Linked DNA regions of Schizosaccharomyces pombe. Changing the gene in region 1 together with any one later gene gives a genetic interaction. Each region holds a gene or a part of one and is shown on either strand. Other genes may lie near its edges.

Region 1 (3,756 bases):
AGAAGTGTAGGCTCCTTAAAGTCAAGCAAAACACCTTGGAAACTTTTCTGGACTGGAGACTCACATGTCAGAAATTTGGATCGAGTGAACCAGTATATGAGCGTTATTGATAAAATTCAGCCAACATGGTTGAATTGAGTGGAAGTTAACGATTGCACTTTATCAGAGACAAGATTATTTCGCTTCTTCAAAAGCACTTGTCAAACTTTTTAATAAAAGGAAAAAAGTCCATTTTGATAGGACATTAATTCTCTTTTGCACATTAGATTATAGATTGAGTAGTTTGCCTACAAACTTGCATTTTTCTTTAGTTATGATTTTTGTTTATTCCCCCACATAACCCCCATGTAGAGCTTAGAAAAGGTGATACTAGCTTTTTTCTTTTGTGAGTATCAACGTTTATCAACAAAACTAGTAGTAAACATGTCTTATAAACTTGAGTTGTTGCGTCGTGCCTTAGAACATAATGTTTTGAAGTTTGGAACTTTCACCTTAAAATCAGGCAGAAAATCTCCATACTTCTTCAATTCTGGTAATTTCACTCATGGTGCCGATTTATGCGCTCTTGCAGAAGCCTATGCCGAGACTATTATCGCTATGAACGTTGATTTTGATGTCATATTTGGTCCTGCTTATAAGGGTATCTCTTTGGCTGCTATAACGGCCGTCAAACTTTATGAAAAAACTGGAAAGAGCTATGGATTTGCCTATAACCGCAAAGAGGCCAAGTCCCATGGTGAAGGAGGTAACCTTGTAGGCGCCGAAATGGAAGGTAAAAAGGTTTTACTTTTGGATGATGTTATTACCGCTGGAACTGCCATTCGTGAAGCAATTTCCTTCTTAGAACCTAAGCACGTAAAATTGGCTGGTATCGTCCTTTTGCTTGACCGCCAAGAGCGACTGGACCCCGAAGTAAACGAAAGTACCATTGGTAGATTGAAGAAGGAGCTTAACTTACCCGTTTCCTCCATCCTTACTTTGGACGACATTGTTGACTTTACCAAATCAGACTTAACTGCAGCTGAATCAAAGGCAATGGATGCTTACAGACAGCAGTACCAAGCCAAATGAGCTTATGGTAATGTTTCTTTTAAAAATTTGGAAGGAGGAAAGAGAATAATTGGATAAGTATCTTTTTTGGTTTTTAGCTTTGCTTTTTTAAAGAGAGTGAAGTTAGTTGGTATTTACATATGTTATAGAATTTTTTTATCTGTATATTTGTGGTGATAGATACAACTCATATTAGAAGGAATTTTCTATAAAGCGATTGCATTTAGCGGTATTCAAAAATTTCTCTATAATAGACGAAGGAAATTGGTTTACTTGTTAAGCTTTTGTTTTGCACATATCCATCTATCTTTTGATTAGTTCCGTGAATCTGTTTTTTTTGTGTTTGTTTCTTCTTTTGTGTTATTCGAATCTTTCCAAGATGACAGTTAGGAATGAAGCTACCAAAATATTGAGTTGAGGGATAATTAATGTTTCACAAAATGGTATTTGTGTATTATTTTTGTAAAAATTTGTAGGATTTGGTTTTTAGTGATGATTATTTACGTTCGAAAGACGCATATAATGGGCAATTATAAAAAATTTAGGATTTTATTTTTCAATTCTGCGACGGGTATTTATGCTCTGTGTTTGAAATACCAAATATTAAATAATGGTAAAACCTTTAAACAGAAGCCTGGTGATTAACTTTTTATTATGACAAGAAAATGTTAAGAAATTTTGGAATGTTTTTATTCTCATATTCAATGTGAATTTGAATAAGTAGTCACTGCAGTCTATAAATAAAAATGGTTTATTAGAAAAACTCGAGTTGAACAATGAAATTCTTTATCATTTATGTAATACAATTGGTTTAACATAGTGGAATCGAATGGTACAATAATTGAGTTACTAATATGTAACCTTCAAGTATTTATCGTTTACCACTAACTCACCATAAGAGAGGGTGAAAGATTTAGTTCTGTTTGTGTGAGATCTTAAAAAAGCAAGCAAATTTCCTTTTTATCAAAAAAAGGATCCGCATTTCCTGAAGCACTTTACTGTGATTTTAGGGATTTTTTTGGTGAGTAAGAAGCAGTGTTTTTCGATTTTTCTGAGATCTCGCTGTTGAAAAAATCCGGACTAAATCGGCTCCGTAGTCGATAAACCCAAATCTACAGCTTTTTGATTTAAATTATACAAATCGTGATCTGGAAAGTTTCGAAAGGTTTCTGTCCTTACATATTAAAGTTCTTGGTAGTTGAGTATCTTACATCAGCTGGTAAGATACGTGGATTTTTAGGGATAGCAGAGGTCTTTAAAAACATCTGTTTTTAACTCAAAACATAGAGTTAAATACTTTTTAATTGAAAAAATCTTTGAGGCAAACGCCGCTGAGAGAATATATCCTTTCTTTAGTGCATGCAGTTAGTATCATATGTATTTCCGACTTTATCTGCTATAAATACTCGGTTTTCAAAAACTATCGATATTTTGTAGAGGAAATTTCAATTTGCTTCTTCTTTCTCATTTGCTTCGTTTTTTTTTTTATATGATATTAATAGCTGGCGCTGTGGAGTTGAGACATTAAATTATTACAAACATTTAGAGAGACGAAACGTTGTTATTGCATCAAGTTTTGAAGCTCTTCCTTCCTTCCTTTTTTTTAAATTGCTTGCCAATAGTGCCGTTATGTATAACGACCAAATACATAAAATCACCTATTCAGGAGTGGAAGTATTTGAGTATACGATCAATGGCTTTCCTTTAATGAAACGTTGTCATGATAACTGGCTTAATGCCACGCAAATCCTTAAAATTGCAGAGCTCGATAAACCCAGGAGGACAAGGATTCTGGAGAAATTCGCTCAAAAGGGACTTCATGAAAAAATTCAAGGTGGTTGTGGAAAATATCAAGGTTTGTGTTAACTTCTTACTATATCAATAGGTTTAAAACTACTTAAATAACATAAAATTTTTGTCTCTGTTGTTTTTATTTATCAATTTATACTTTTTTGGATGCCTGTTACTAACTATTCATTCAGGAACTTGGGTACCCTCTGAAAGAGCTGTTGAACTTGCTCATGAATATAATGTTTTTGATTTAATACAACCTCTGATTGAATACTCTGGCTCTGCGTTCATGCCAATGTCTACGTTCACTCCTCAGAGCAATCGTAAGCCTACAGAAGCATATCGACGAAACAGTCCAGTAAAAAAGTCATTTTCCCGGCCTTCGCATTCTTTACTCTACCCTTACACATCTTCCAATAATATGACATCTACTTCTAGAATGTCAGGAATCCATGATGCTTTGTCTCTTCAATCTGATTTCACGCGCTCTCCCGATATGCCTTCTGATTCCTTTACGGGATCTTTGCACGATATCAAAGCTTCTCCGTTTTCTTCAAACAATTATGCGCAGTCTCTCTTGGATTACTTTTTATTACCAAATACTACACAACCTCCTGATTTCGTATATGATCGGCCATCAGATTGGGATGTTAATGCTGGCATTGATGAGGATGGTCATACAGCACTTCATTGGGCTGCTGCAATGGGAAATTTGGAAATGATGCATGCACTATTGCAAGCAGGCGCCAACGTAGTTGCTGTCAATTACCTTCAACAAACATCTTTGATGCGCTGTGTAATGTTTACCATGAACTATGATTTACAGACTTTTGAGGTAGTTTCGGAGTTGCTTCAATCTGCTATCTGCATGAACGACTCTTTTGGCCAAACCGTCTTTCACCACATCGCATTATT
Region 2 (3,459 bases), 980 kb from region 1:
GAGAGAATATAATCTCAACCATGCTAACAAAGGAGTTTGTTTGGTAAAGAATAAAAATGTAAGTAATTAAGACGTTTAGTAAGGCTTTAAATAGAAGATTGATCCTGAACGTATGGAGATTGAGAAAAAATAGAGTTTGTAATGAGGCTCATGGGAGGGTCTTATTTTTATTTATTTATTTATTTTATTTTCTTAGAAACTTAAAAATAGCTTTGTCTCGAGCCATACTTCGAAATGAATGCATAATTTTGCGAGTTCGCGAATTTCCATTATCTTATATAATAATCATTTCAAATCATAAGGATCAAGATGTAGGAAGAACGTTAATAAATACATGGTAAATAATGTTTCTATGATCTTTAAGACTGTTGTACGCCCGGAAACATTCACCCTTTGTCATAAACATCATTAAGCATTATCACAATTTGGCTTGTACATATCAAGCATTTAAACATATAGAGGGTTAATAGCTCATCAACCATAGGACTGGAGACGGATAGCAAGAAATAACAAAACTTCTCAAACGAGATTTTTCCAAAAATTCTTCAGCAGGATGTGAACAATCAATCTATTCATCCAAATTATAGATTAACTCTCATGAAATAATTATGTAATTTTATATCTTAATGCTCGTATACCATCTAAAATGAAGGATGTTATGGTTTTTTCGAAGGCATAGAATTCACCAACGTAAGCATAACTTCAGCTGCCTTGCAATCATCTGCCGATAGGGGATAAGCCGTTGGAAAAGGAAGACTCGTGGACTTGCGAATTCTACTGAGGTTTGCAGTGCCAAGGCGAAGAGACTCATCGGTTTCTTCAGGGCGTGAAATATGGTAATTCATTCCGAACAGTGGAGATTTAGCTGAAGCAGTGGAGGCATGGCTAAGTTCAAATGGCAGTCTGGGTAGCTCAGTATGAGGCTCAACGTAGTTCAACCAAGGAGGACTAGTTCTATCAAAAGACGAGGACGTAGAAGAAACAGCACTAGAAGATGAGTAAGGAGATACAGGCTTCTTATAAGGAAGCTGAGCGAAGCCCTCTCTTGGGCTCACCAATCGCGTAAATGAACTTGCACGCAGCTTGCCTGTATTCGATCCCATAATTGAGTTGGGGTGATGCGGCCTTCTTAGCTTAGAAGAGTCCAAGTCATTGATCGAGCGTGATCTACGATGAACGTGATTTTCCTTACGAACAAGCGTTTCCACTTGATCTAATGTCTGATCTTCCCATCCATGATCGACCTTAAAAAACGCTGCCTTCAAACGAGCCCTAAGTTTGTTTGATAACTTGTATTCAAAAGTTAATGACAATTCGCAACGATTTTTATGCTAAACCAAAATTATTCATCGACGATTCTATTTGTATCGTCGAGATGTTACCTAATTGTGTTTGCGTAATTGACATACCTTGCTTAATGATTCATCGTATTTTTGTTGAATAACTTCATCAGTCTGCCTTGTAGCTTCATTTTTCTTGTGGCCGCCTGCCATGAATTAATATTTGTTGAGTTCGTCTGTATGCAGGTATATAAAAATGACGAGTTATTAGCCTATTCGAATTCTCCTTTCGATAAATTCCTTTTATAATATCCAATTGCAATCAAATAATCCTCCGTATAGCATATAATTGTTTCAATTGAAACAAGACGCGTTGAACGATGTGTTGGTAAGTCGAAAGTCGCGCCTGCCCGTACAAACGATTGAAAAAAGCAACAGGCAGAACACCAGAATTATCAAGTAACAAAACACTCTACCATACAAACAATAAAAACATAAGATTATCAGCCAAAGTTACATGAATATACTGATGTCGGTTATATGCAATTTACTTGGTACCTTTGTCTTTTTGTAAACACCGTTTTCGTCGATGAGAAGTTGCAAATAGACCAAAAAAATTGCATTCAGAAACATAGATATATTCTCCCAATTATTTGGTTACATGACCTTATAGTTGATACAAATCATTCACAAGAGAGACAAAGCTCAAATGCAAACTGTACACAGAAAATAATAAACACATTTTATTTATAAAATATTAAACCCATTAAATTCCCAAAATGTATATGTAGTTGTAAAAGTTCGTCTATGACGCACCAGTACAAACTCAATAAAACAGAAAGAATACGCATTTTTAAAAATCTAATTTTTTGATCTTTTCCCTGAACCAGAAGAATTACCATCCTGTCTCAATCTCTTCCCATGTTGAGCAAACCATTCAGCTTTTTCTTCCCGCTTCTTCTCAATATATGCTTGCTCCTCTTTTTGCATCCTTTTATGATACCGCTCATGTTCTGCTGCTTTCTTTGCTTTACGTTTCGCTTCCTTGTCCGTGTGCAAAGTCATTACTTTTTGAAGCAAATCCCTTACCTTCCGTTCTTCTGCATTCAACAAAACTGTACGTTTTTGCATGTACGTCGGTTTGCTTCTAGGACGTAAGGCTTTTTGACGAGAATTAAATGGAAGCTGAGCTTGAAGCGAGGCAGGCACTTTGAGAGGATTAAAATGTCGAGAGGGTCGAACAATCTCCTGGTACTGAGAATTGGGTCGTAAAGGAGTTTTCAATCCCAATTCATGCCGAACTTCTCCTGTTAACCGCATACCGTTCCATTCCGTTTTATCCGTCTCAAGTAAATTGGTGACCATTGTACAGAATTTTCGCACTTGTACCGGATACCATGCCCGCAAAAATACAATGTCACTCATTAAAATTTTGTCTTCAAATGTAGCACGGAAATGTCCATGTTCCTGATCAACTGCCTTTTTAACCTGACCTCGAATCCCTGAAACAGTCCTGATATTGGCACCTTCAAATTTTGCAACTTCTAAAGGACTACTAAACATTTTCTTAATAAATGCTGTGTTTTTAAATATTTTGTAGGGAACACCAGTCAATTTTAATTTTTTAACAATATCGGTCGATTGATCGATATTCAATACTGAGCCCGTAGCTGCAATTCGGAAGCTACCCGCCTTTGCGAACGAATTGGCTACAGATTGGACCGCACAAAAACCGCTGTTGGGAGCGACGAAGGGTCCATAAAAGGTACCGAAACAATGCATGTGTTCTGGAGTATATTTCAACATCCTATTTCGAGTACGCGAGTCACTAATTGAATATACAGGTATCGACTGAAATCTTCTCCAACCCATACTAAAAATCAGAGGATCATTCGTTTTAAGTATTTTTTTGTGCCAACGGTGACGCTTAATACGAACTTGAACTAATCCATACCGTTGCTCATTAGGTAGTAATCCACCAACAACTACGGGATAGCGAGAATCAAAGTGCTCAACAAATTCAAACGGAACGTCGTTTATTACGATACGTACATAAGTGCCTGCTCTATAGCCTTCGATTTCAGCTCGACTTTCAGGATCCATATCCTCAAAAGCTTCTCGATTTATAACAAGCTGACGTGCAATTTTTTCCTTTTCTTCCGTATACCAGTCAACGTCT

What was found. Genes that interact genetically often act in the same process or in processes that back each other up.
Region 2: of res1 (region 1) and whi5, a mutation in one rescues a mutant of the other (synthetic rescue), as found in Schizosaccharomyces pombe (2 studies listed by BioGRID, with this or other methods).

The regions. Positions count from the first base shown.
Region 1 is NC_003423.3:1,230,656-1,234,411, forward strand, and holds the start of res1 (MBF transcription factor complex subunit Res1), read left to right. Parts: upstream 1-1,930; 5' UTR 1,931-2,679; coding exon 2,680-2,905; intron 2,906-3,032; coding exon 3,033-3,756. Other genes in the region: acetylglutamate synthase Arg6, read left to right, coding at 1-138; orotate phosphoribosyltransferase Ura5, read left to right, coding at 424-1,071. UniProt on the Schizosaccharomyces pombe protein: Acts as a positive regulator of the mitotic cell cycle and as a negative regulator of sexual differentiation. May be involved in the transcriptional regulation of the cdc22 and cdt1 genes. Is an integral component of the DSC1-like complex.
Region 2 is NC_003423.3:251,182-254,640, reverse strand, and holds whi5 (cell cycle transcriptional repressor Whi5), read right to left. Parts: upstream 1,676-3,459; 5' UTR 1,494-1,675; coding exon 1,410-1,493; intron 1,332-1,409; coding exon 657-1,331; downstream 1-656. Other genes in the region: GTP-binding protein Bms1, read right to left, coding at 2,142-3,459. UniProt on the Schizosaccharomyces pombe protein: Has a role in meiosis.